Linked DNA regions of Elephas maximus indicus. The protein of the gene in region 3 interacts with the protein of the main gene of each other region in a pairwise test. Links are inferred from orthologs where the notes say so. Each region holds a gene or a part of one and is shown on either strand. Other genes may lie near its edges. The genes, in order: PLEKHF1, NGB and L3MBTL3.

The links.
Region 1: the proteins of L3MBTL3 (region 3) and PLEKHF1 interact in binary tests that used the Homo sapiens proteins (3 or more experiments, as listed by UniProt). The two-hybrid records come from large-scale screens. The link is inferred for Elephas maximus indicus from reciprocal best matches to the Homo sapiens genes L3MBTL3 and PLEKHF1.
Region 2: the proteins of L3MBTL3 (region 3) and NGB interact in binary tests that used the Homo sapiens proteins (3 or more experiments, as listed by UniProt). The two-hybrid records come from large-scale screens. The link is inferred for Elephas maximus indicus from reciprocal best matches to the Homo sapiens genes L3MBTL3 and NGB.

Annotation. Positions count from the first base shown.
Region 1 is NC_064839.1:11,415,427-11,419,170, reverse strand, and holds the start of PLEKHF1 (pleckstrin homology domain-containing family F member 1), read right to left. Parts: upstream 2,421-3,744; 5' UTR 2,292-2,420; intron 1-2,291. UniProt on the Homo sapiens protein: May induce apoptosis through the lysosomal-mitochondrial pathway. Translocates to the lysosome initiating the permeabilization of lysosomal membrane (LMP) and resulting in the release of CTSD and CTSL to the cytoplasm.
Region 2 is NC_064828.1:90,064,578-90,068,321, forward strand, and holds the start of NGB (neuroglobin), read right to left. Parts: upstream 2,375-3,744; coding exon 2,286-2,374; intron 72-2,285; coding exon 1-71. UniProt on the Homo sapiens protein: Monomeric globin with a bis-histidyl six-coordinate heme-iron atom through which it can bind dioxygen, carbon monoxide and nitric oxide.
Region 3 is NC_064819.1:198,635,114-198,638,857, reverse strand, and holds the start of L3MBTL3 (lethal(3)malignant brain tumor-like protein 3), read right to left. Parts: upstream 2,972-3,744; 5' UTR 2,852-2,971; intron 2,768-2,851; exon of another isoform or gene 2,379-2,767; intron 2,130-2,378; exon of another isoform or gene 2,064-2,129; intron 1,898-2,063; exon of another isoform or gene 1,808-1,897; intron 1,071-1,807; exon of another isoform or gene 887-1,070; intron 547-886; exon of another isoform or gene 95-546; intron 1-94. UniProt on the Homo sapiens protein: Is a negative regulator of Notch target genes expression, required for RBPJ-mediated transcriptional repression. It recruits KDM1A to Notch-responsive elements and promotes KDM1A-mediated H3K4me demethylation.

The DNA.
Region 1 (3,744 bases), on a different chromosome or scaffold from region 3:
GTGAAGCACCTGGAAATGAATACACCTGCATCTTTCTCTCAGGATTCAGAAGGGGTGGCAGGTTCCTGGGCTCACCCTTCTGAACATATATGATCCCACCACCTGAACTGAAGCTCAGGGTATGTACCATGAGAGCTGTGGCTTGGGGGCCCAGGCTCTGAATGTTTTTAGGTGGCTGCAAATGCCATGTGACCAGGATTCCATGCATGACAGCCAATGTATGATACCTGACCTACACCAGGGGTTAGCAAACTATGGCTCCAGGGCCAAATCTGGCTCACCGCCTGTTTTTCTAAATAGAACTTTATTGGAACACAGCCTTATACAACAGAGACTGTATAGCCTACAAAGCTGAAAATATTCAGCTCTTACTTGGCCCTTTACAGAAGATGTTTGCTGACCCCTGGTATACCACGCGTTATATAAAATGTACAATGGTGTCTGTTCCAGGGACATACCCAGTGACCCACACGGGGCTTTGTCCTGGTGGAACATGTCCTCTCCTCTCCTGAACTCGGAACACGGCCTTTGGGATCTGCAGAGAGATGCTGGGTGCCTCAACGTAGGAGCCTTAGAAAGATGGAGCTGAGAGGGGTGCTCTGATCCACCTTCCCCTTGAGTTACATGTAGGGACACTGGTCATCAGAGAGGGACGTAATACCTGGCCCAAGGTCACAGAGAAAAGCGGAATCCAGGGGCCAGCCCCACCCTTCAGCTTCCCCCGATGGGCAGGGCTGGGCCATGGGGCTGAATGTAACAGTAACAAGAAAAATAACCCACAGGGGTGCCACTTCCCGCTAGAGCTCTTGGCCCTCCAGGCACAAGACTTGAGCACATTACAAGTATTATCTGATTTAATTCTCAGAAAAGCCCCTTGAGGAAAATACCATCACCAGTTTCAAAGTCACTGCCCAAGGACCTGGCTGAGTGAGCCAGAAGCCAGGCTCCAAACTAACCGTAAGCTACTGAAGGCTGCTCTTGACCAAAAACAAAGTCAGGAATCCTCAAACCCAGTGGGTCGGGCCCCTCTCCAGGCCACAGGCCCCTTGAGATGGCCTGGGCAAGTCTATTAGTTTGACTGGGCTGACCTGCCCCAGGCCACACTGGCCAAGCTACGCTTCATTCCCTGTGGTGGGCTGGGGTGTGCAGGACCCTCAGCTCATCTGGGCGGCCTCGCCTGCCAGCCTTGGCACCACTGAGGGCTGACGTGTGCAGGGATGTGGGGCCAAAGCCAGAGAAGGGTCACCTCTCAGCCTGCAGGACTCCGCCATAAACCCTCTCTAAGCCCCTCCGGCTTGGAACTGGGGGCTGAGGAGGGCTGTTGGTCTCTCCAGGAGGCCAAGACTGTGAGAGATCACACCAGCCAGCTCTGGTCACTTGTCCCAGGGAATCGGTGCTGTTCCAGGGCTTGCCTGGGAGAGTATCTGGGACTCTCTGGCCTCTGATTCTCTGGTGATGAGATAATAGTTTTGTTCAAAATTCCAAACAAATATTTCCTTTGGGCTATGAAGACCAAGTTCTGCAGTAGCTGGGAGTTTTCCCACCTGCAAGGGCTGCTACCGACACCTCTCTGCGGGTATTCGAAGAGAGAAAGGGAAGGGGGTTCCAGGAAATTCGCCCATTGTCCGGGATGCGAATAAACCAGGCTGGAGGGTTGGGAAGCAACTACCATCTCTCTCTGGGTCGGCCTCAGTTATTTCCTCTGCGACATGGGAAATTGAGCTTGGCCGTTTCCCCTGACGGTTCCCACCACGGGTCATTAACTCGAATGCGCTTCGGGGCCAAGCGGTCCCCAAAAGAAATGGGCCAAAGAGGGCGGAGCCACCCAGAAAGCGCTGCCGACCCCCATTTTCTCCCCACAGGCGGGCAGTGGTCCCAGCCCACGACTTCAGACCCCGCAGACTGGGACCAATCACTGAGGTTCAGACAGAGGTGTGAGGCCATGACTCCCCGAAACATCACCCAACAACCGGTGAGCTGAGATCCCTGCAGCCCCAGGGCGCAGCGCCCAGGGACTCCTCCCGACCCTCCGCCCAGGGGCCCCGCCTCGGCCACGGAGCCCCACCTGCTCTCCCTGGACCCCGCAGCCCTCACCCTGCCTGCCCCGCCAGCCAGCGAAGAGCGCCCTTCTCCGCGCCTCTCCAAGGGTCTGGAGTCGGAGCCCGCCCTGGCTGCGCGCCCCGGCCCGCCCGAGCCCCGTGGCCACCTCGACCGAGCGGCCCCGGGCTCTGGGACTTAGGGAGGGGAGCCCGTCTGCTCCACGCGCCCCAGCCCGGCCGCGGGGCCCTTACCTTCTCCGCCAGACACCCCTCGCCCGCGCGCCTCTCGCCAGCCCGCGGCTGCCCGGCAGCTCCGCCCGCGTCCGCGTTCCTCTGGCCGCTGCAGCCAAGCCGCGAGCCGCCCACGCCTCCGAGTTCCAACTCCTCCTGGCACCCTCGGGGGAGGCTCCGCCAATCGGCGCCCCGCAGCGCTGGCGGGGCGGAGCCCGAACCCAGAACTCTGAGCCAAGCCTTGCGAAATGCGTGGGGGTGGAGCGGCCCCAAGTTTCAGGTGGTCCCTTGTGAGCGGCGGGGCCCTAGCGACAGCTCCTTCTTGCTCCCTTGGGGCTGGTTCCCCAGTTCGTCCGGTTTGTTCCCCCACCCCCAGTTTCCCGTTTCTGCCGGTCGCACTCCTCATACTTGCTGTGGCCGAAGAAGACTGAGTCCGCGAACCCTGCTACTGCCTACTGCAAGGTGGGGGGCGCTGGGGGCAGGGTGAGGCTGTTGGATTGTTATGCCTTCTGATGTCTTCTAGCAGCCCCCCTCCTGCCTGCTGACCCCTCATAGTCTTTTCCCCTCGCAGCAAGAGCGGTGGTAGTAATAACGATAAGTATACTGTGGGGGCTTGTGTGTTACTGTGATCCTGGAAGCTATGCCACCAGTATTTCAAATACCAGCAGAGTCACTCATGGTGGGCAGGTTTCAGCAGAGCTTCCAGACTAAGACAGACTCAGAAGAAGGGCCTGGCGACCTACCAAAAAAACTGGGCAGTAAAAACCGTATAAATAGCAGCAGAACCTTGCCTGATATAATACCAGAACACCAGCCACTCAGGCTAGAAGGCACTCAAAATAAGAGGAGGAAGAGCCACCTTCTCCAACTAGAGTCAACCTGAAAGACATGGCGGAGTCAAACTTTCCGGACCTTCATTTGCTGATGTGGCATGACTCAAAATGAGAAGAAGCAGGGCAAATATCTATTAATAATTGGAATGTGGAGTGTACAAAGTATAAATCTAGGAAAATTACATATTATCAAAAATGTAATGGAGCCCTTGAAGATGGATATCCTGGGCATTAGTGAGCTGAAATGGACTGGTATTGGCCATTTTGAATCATACAATCATATGGTCTACTATGCCAGGAAAGACAAGTTGAAGAGGAATGTCATCACATTCATCGTCAAAAAGAACACTTCAAGATCTGTCCTGAAGTACAACGTTGTCAGTGATAGGATACTATTCATACACCTACAAGGAAGACCAGGTAATATGACTATTTACGCACCAACCACTAATGCCAAAGATGAAGAAATTGAAGTCTGAAATTGATCAAACATACAATCAAGATACATTGATAATTACTGGTGATTGGAATGCAAAAGATGGAAACAAAGAAGAACCAGTAGTTGGAAAATATGGCCTTAGCAATAGAAATGACACTGGAGATTGCATAACAGAATTTTCATTGGAAATACCTTTTTTGCA
Region 2 (3,744 bases), on a different chromosome or scaffold from region 3:
CATCCACGCTGGAGAACTGGCGGCAGTTGTATTGGAAGAGGGGCAGCAGGTCTGGCTCCAGGTCAAACAGCCTGTGGGGAAGGTCCAGGTGTCAGCCCCCAAAAGCCCCCCGCGAGCCCTGGTTGTCCAGCAATGGGAGTGGGGGCTGAGCCAGGGCTTTGGCTGTAAACTCTGGTGCACCCTCCAACCTGACATGGGCCCTTTGCCAGCTTTGCTGCTGCCTCCTCCCCAACACTTAGGCCAGCTCTGAGGGGCGACCTGGGAAGAACAATGCATCTCCAGGTCTCTCAGTATCTGGCATATGATCGTTGGGCGCCATCAAGTTGATTCCTATTCATAGCAACCCAATGTGACAGGGTAGAACTACCCTATAGGGTTTTTAATAGCTGTAATTTTTACAGGAAGGAGCCCTGGTGGCACAGTGGTTAAAGTGCTTAGCTGCTAACCAAAAGGTCAGTGGTTCGAACCCACCAGCCACTCCTCAGGAGAAAGATGTGGCAGTCTGCTTCCATAAATATTTACAGCCTTGGAAACCACATGGGACAGTTCTACTCTGTCCTACAGAGTCATTATGATCCAATTTGATGGCAATGGGTTTGGTTTTGGTTACCTTTACAGAAGCAGATTGCCAGGTCTTTTTCCTGCAGAGCCACTAGGTGGCTTTGAGCCACCAACCTTTCTGTTAGCAGCCGAGTGCTTAACCATTGTGCTACCAGGGCTCCTTCTGGCATACAGTAGCCCCTTCATAAATAGTTATGGGGTGTGGGCTGGGACAGGAAGGAGGTCCTCATAATAGGAAATCTAGAGTTACATTATGGGGAGAGGAAAGTCCTTCTTTCTCCCTCTCTGTTTCAGCCTCCTACTCTTGGGTCAGAGCTTCCCAGGCTCCTCCTGTTTCCAGTAGGTGATGATAACAATAGTATCAAGAACAAAATCCACATAATGACTGAGCACTGAGTACTTCACCTGTGGTAAGCTCATGTCTTCCTCACCATCCCAAGCAGTGGGCACAACTGCTATTCTGATTTTACAGGAGGTTTTAAGTAATGTGCCCTAGGTCACACCATTTGGGGGTGGTGGAGCTCCAGGGAGTGCATGTTTGGAGACGGCAAAGAGATGGAAGCGGAAGATCTCAGTCACGTTTGGGAGGCATGTGGTGGTTTTGTGGAACTCTGTGTTTATCTCCCTCTGTCTTGGGGGAGTTTTTGTTTTTTTTTTTTTTTTTACAAAAGCCTCAGGGGAAGTTTTGGGCTGCCTCAGGGAGCCCCAGCTCCTGAAAATCCAAGGTGAGGAAGGGAGCGTTGCTCTGTTAGCAGGGGCAGATTAACCAGTAGGCAAGGTAAGCATGGTGCTTACCTTGCTTACTTCATCATCTGTAGTGGACAATTTCACATATTTTCACCACATTAAAGATGCTGCTTCTAAGTATGGCTGGCATCTGTCTTTCCCCCTGTCCCACAGCACCTTCCTACAGAATCAAAGCCTCTTTTCCAAGGGACAGTCCCTGACCGGCAGATGATGAAGTAAGCAAGGTAAGCATGGGCTTATTTGTGCTTACTTACTAAGATTAATGATCTAGCAAACCAGGTAAACAACCGTGCTTACCTTGCCTATTGGATAATCCGCGCCCTTCCCGTTGGTGATGGTATAGGAGTTGGGGAGAGGTCCCCAAGCTGGGGTTGCAAACTGACCTTCCCTAGCCTGGTGGGGTCTGCACACCGCCTAAGGGCCTCCTCGGTGGTGAGACTTGGGCGGCTCTCACCCCTTCCTCGGAGGATCTCTGGTCCTAGCCTGGTCCCTTCCCCAGTAGGGTTATCCTTCCATCTTTTGCTGGGAGTACGCACGCCTAGGGCCCGGACTCTGTGCACCGCTAACCACCCATGGGTGCGCCCGGCACACCCTCCCCGCACGGACCCTTGGGGCTCCCCAGTCCCCTGTACCCGGCGGCCGTGGGCGTCCTGCAGTCGCCACCCAAGGAACGTGCGGGAGGCACAAAGCCGAGCAGGGGCCACAGCTGGCCAGGTGTGAGGAGATTCGCTAGCGAGGCCCCCGCCCACCTCCATGAGCCCAAGCGGTTGCTGCAGGTGCAGCGCTGCCCGCAGGACGCACCCACGTCCGAGGAAGCTCACAAGGGGCTGCGCCACCGTCGCCGCGCTCCGCCGTCTCTGGCGCACATTTGGCGGGCGCCCGGCGCCAAGGCGGTGGCTGGTTCCCCTCCTACGGCCAAGCCAGCACTCTCGAGCCCATCCCGCGAGGCTGGGACCCCGGCGCTCCGGCCGCCTCACCTGGCGAACAGGACGGTACCGTGCTCCAGCGGGCTGCGGCTCACCACGCGCCAGCTCTGCCGGATCAGCTCGTGCTCGGGGCGCTGCATGCTCGCCGGGGACGCGGGGCACACGGCTGGGATTCTCGGGGCGCGGGGGCCGTCACTGCACGTGCAGCGCCATCTCTGTGGAGACTCAGGCCACTCCGCACCCCTTACAGTCCCCGCGCCTCCGCCGAGTCAGCGGCCGCTCCTTCCTTGGTCGGAGTGGAACGAAGACGCGCAGCAGCTCGCGGTGTGTGGAGGCGCCCCAGCCGCGCCCACCCCGCTGGTGCTGCCGGGGACCCCTCTCCCGCCGCTGAGCCCTGCGCCCCGCAGCTCAGCCAGCGGCCCCGCCCCGCGCCGCCCCGGCGGGGCGCTTTAAAGAGACCGCGTTCCCCGCCCCCGTCCGTCCATCAAGGCTCTTTCTCTCTCCGCAACCGGCTCCGGCCGAGAACGACCTGGTGGCGTGGGACATGCCCGAGCTTCAGTGCTTAACTGAAATCTTCCAGCCTCCCTGGGCCTCAGTTTCGCATCTGGAAACTGGTGATAATATTACTACTTAGTGTCTGGAAGACAGCTCTGGTGGCGCAGTGGTTAAGCGCTGGGCTGCTAACCAAAGGGTAGGCGGTTCAACACACCAGCTGCTCCGCAGGAGAAAGATGTGGCAGTCTACCGTAAAGATTTACAACCTTGGAAATCCTGTGGGGCAGTTCTACTCTGTCCTAAATAGTCACTTTGAGTCGGAATCCGCTCCAAGGCAACGGGTTTTCGTTTTAGGATATGGAACCCTGATGGCGCTGTGTTGAATTTGACCGCCTCTCCACAAGCCCCACCCAAACATTGCCCAGAGGCATTTGAGTTTGCTGTCAATCTCTTTCTCCTTTCTTCTGCCCTGAAGTTGTCCAGAGTGCGCTGGGGAGCATACCTTTATGACCAGGCTGAGAATGCGGTGCCCCCTGCCCTGGCTCAGGGTCTGACTGGGGCACCGGCATAGGTTGGAGGCCACCAGGGCTCTCAGCCTTGGGGACAGGGCCAAAACTGCAGACATTTCCAGGCAGGCCTGGCTTTTCTTGAGACTCCATCACTGGAAATCTGTGGGCTCCAGTTCTAATCCCAGCTCTGCTTAGCCAGGGTGGGACTTTGGGGGCAGTAGGCGTGAGCCTGTTTCCTCACCTGGAAATTGAGGGAGTTAGGATCTGGCAATCTACTGTTCCATAATTTTTAATCGACTTTAGTTTTTTTTTAGAAAGTACTGTTTCAGGTAACAGTCTTACGCTTGCCATCCAAGCAAACAGTTGGTTACGTATCAGACCTAAACTTTTCTGTTTCAAGCATGAAAGTTTCTCAGGCCCCAGCCCAGTTCTAGTGGCCCAGGTTTTGGAGAGCTGGCCCATTCATTATTGGCCATTTCAAGTCTCTGAGCCTATCTCCTCCTAGTC
Region 3 (3,744 bases):
ATCCACTCCTCGTGATCAAAGGTACACCAGTCTGCTGTTGTACAGACAACCACAAATATAAAAACAACTGTTCCTAATACAAGGGGTGACCAACCTCAAATCCCAGAATAAAAGCGAAGTGGTTTTCCATGTAACTAATGATGGATGGAAGTTACATAGTCTGAGTCCTCAGGATTCACTGCTCTCCGATTTACTAAACTTTCTATTCCTGACCAGCATCCTTTCACACAACATCTGGCTGCTCACTCAGGTCGTCTAATTACTTCCACGTCTGAATGGACTACGTAGCTACAAGTACAGGCCAAACTTTGCTCTCGGCCTTCCGAACTTAAAGATGCGTTTAACCACTAGAGGTCTCCCCTTGGCCAGTTTTGCACGTTCGCTATTTTGCTGCACTTGAAACTTTACGGAGAAATGCTCTCTCCTCGAGTCAGTGTTTTTCAAAAAACTTGCGCAAAAATCCACGCGACCAAGATAGGCAGGACAGAGTCTCTCGAGCTTCCAAGACCAATAAAGACATCACGAACAATGCTCAAGGAAAATCAAAATTAAAATTCGACGCACTCGCCCCAGCCATCCCCCCCCCGAAAAAATTCCTATTTCTCATCTCATTTTCCTAAACTTAAAACAATTAAAAATCTATTTTTGTTTCTGTACACTTTGAAAGATTTCTAATGCATGTTTCTGGGGTTTAGGGCCGAGGTGGTATAGAAGCGGGCCAAGGGATGCAGGGAGGGGGAAGGGCTGTGCTCACTGCGCCCAAGGAAGTTGCATAAGGAAAGAGACTCCGTTTTTTCGGGTCCCCTCAAAAAAATCGGCGGGGAGGGGGAGGAAAAGGAAGCAGGGTGGTTGGGGGGAGGAGAAGGGAAACCGAAGCGACGTTTACCTTCGTCTCCCCGTGACAGGGTGGGGTAAGTGCCACCGTCCTCGCGACCCCGGTGGGCGGCTCGTTACCCCTACCTCGTTCTGAGCGCAGACGGACAGACAGACACCTCTACCCCTCTGAAGGGAAAGCAGGGAGGAAACCACCCGCTTTTAAACTTTCTCTCACGGTCACGCTGTGGGCCGAGCTTTGACCAGAAAAGGGGGAGAAAAAAAATCATTGGGCCTTTTTTTTTTTCTTTCAAGGTAATTAAAGTTTTACCACTAGCACAAAAGTTGCGCCCTCCCCCCGCCCATGTCACCGTGCCCCCACCCCTCCAAGGGCTCACAAGTTTTCCTCCCTCCCCCCCACCTCAAGCTCCGGGGCGCGCAGCGGATGCCCCGGCTCCTGCGCTTCCCGATCCCCACCCCCGCCGGCCTCTACTTCCCCCCCCACCCGCCCGGCCGCCGCGGCGCGAGGATGGCCCGCCGGGCCCAGGACACTAGTGTGCAAAGCCCATTATTCCGGAATTGCACACGCACGCGGCGTGAGGCTGGCAGCGGCCCCTGTTCGAACCCCTTTGGCTCCCCAATATAAGAAAGGCGTAAACAAGTTGCAGGAAAAGGCACCCCGCGTCCCCCCCCCACCGCCCCAGCCCGACGCCCTGGCGCGGCCGCTGCCTCCGCCGCTACCGCGGCCGCCACCTCCCGACACACGCCCGCACCCGGGCCGGCGCCGCACGGCGCGGGGTGGCCGCGACGGCACGAGAGCCGGCCCGGCCCGTGCCCGAGCCCTCCCCAGCGCGGACGGCAGCCGCGGGCCCGCGCCGCCGCCTCGCTTCCCCAAGCACTTTCCTGCCTCTGGCAGAAATAAACCGGAGGGTTTATTTTTGTGCAACTTTCCCAAAATGGCGGAAATTGGAGCTGATCTATATTAAATTCTCACACACTCGGTCGGGAAAGGGGAGGAGGCGAAGAAGAAAACGCAAACTCTCGGCCGCGGAGCCTGCCGTGGGTCCGTGTGTGTGTGCGTGCGTGTGAGTGTGCGTGTGCGCGGTGGGAGTCGGAGAGGCCTTTCCGCCGCGCACACACACAGCACACGCCGGGAAGACGCGCCTGCACATTCAACCAGTCCATTCTCCGCAGCCCGAGTGGCGAGAAAGTGCCCCGGCCTCTTTTCCCACTGCCTCGGTCTCCCGTACTTGTACTTCTCGCGCTCGCTCGCTCGCTCTCCGGTGCGCGCCGGCACAAAGGCCACACGGGCGGAGGGGGCCGCAGGGGCGGCGCGCGGGGCTCGCGCCTCCCGCTGCACCGATCCGCGGCCCCGGCCGCCCCCGCGCCCCCCGCCGGCGCCCCCAGCCTCGGTGGCCGCGCTCGCCGCCCAGGCTGCGGCTCCGCGGCGCCTACACGGGCACGCACCCGGAGCCCAGCGCCGCCGCGCTCCCCCACCCCGCTCCCGGTGTCATGAAAGAGACCAAAGTGACAAGCTCTCGGGGGGCGCAGGGGAGGGGGCTCACACGCATCCAGCCGCCTGCGCGCGGGCGAGAGCCCGACGCGGCCGCCTCGCCCGGCTCCCTTCCGCACAGCCCCCCACACCCTTCTCCGTGTGCGCGCAAAGAAAAAAATACAAGTCTCTCCTCCCCCCATTTTTTCCTTTCTCTTTTCTCTCTCTTTTGTTCCTCTTTCACACTCACACTCACTACTTCAGAGTGAGATGCCCAGAGACTCCCCCTCCAGCCATTTCAGAGTCACTTGCCCACTTTTTTCCCCGGGATTAAGTTTTCGCCTCTTTCCCAGAGGCGGAGAGAAGTGGGGGAGAAACCCCTTCTGTCCTTTCCCCTCCCCGATCTGTTTCACAAGAGGAGGGTGCGCTTCCTTCCCTCTGTAGGGCTCTTAACTTTCATCCTCACCCAGAAAAATAAATGAATGGCTTTTGCATGTACACAGCTTCAGATTAATTAGATATTAGATCAGATCAACCGCTTCTTACCCCAAAATTTTTCTTTTTTTTTTCTCCGTCTCACGAGTAGTCCTGACAAATGGTCCAGGGCTGCGGGCGCAGTGCGCATGTGCGCGTAGAGTCAGGGCTGGGGAGAGGGGAAACTGCGCTGGTGCCGGTGCCGCCGCCGCCACCGCCGCCGCCGCCGCCGCCGGGGAAGCTCGCGCTGGCTTCCCTGTTACTGCTGCTGCGCCTTCGCCGCTGGAAAGCAGCAATAGAGCCGCTTGGCAAATGCAGCTGCCGGCAGATACCGTTTCAGGTGCATCTTTTCAATATCCTCGTCACCGACTCAAAGCCGGTTCAAGAACAGGCAAAACAAACATGAAAGACTGTAAAGGTTATAGATTTCTTTGTCTATTTTCCACTTTACTTTTTTTTAAGGCCATTCGTAGAGCAGCTAATCCACCATGTGCTGGGGAATGTATGCATTCAGCCATTAAAGAGTGGGCCTATAGTCTTTACACAAACCCTACCTATAGGCTAAACCTGTGCTACAGGTCATAAAATATAAAGAAATAAAGTTTTAAGCTTTAACGCAGCAGAAAACTCCCCCTCTTTTAGGACTCGAAGAATGCGTGAAGAAGTATGGATTTAAAACTTGCGTGTTTTTTCCTCTTCTTCTGTGTGGATCTTTACTGACAGTTTAAACATGTTGGGCCTTCGTTAGGAGACATGCTGAGATTCCCAGATCAACCCAGAAATCCGTGTTAAACCACCTTGGCAGTAAGCAGGTGGAGTATCCTTCTAATGTATTCAGTCAAGATGGCTGAGCCATTGTAAACGTCAAAACCTGTCTTTGTTAACAAATCAAAACTAGATCAAGGGAGTATCGTATTTTGGTATTGACAGCTTTCCACTCACTTATTGACTGCAGGCCTCCTTTT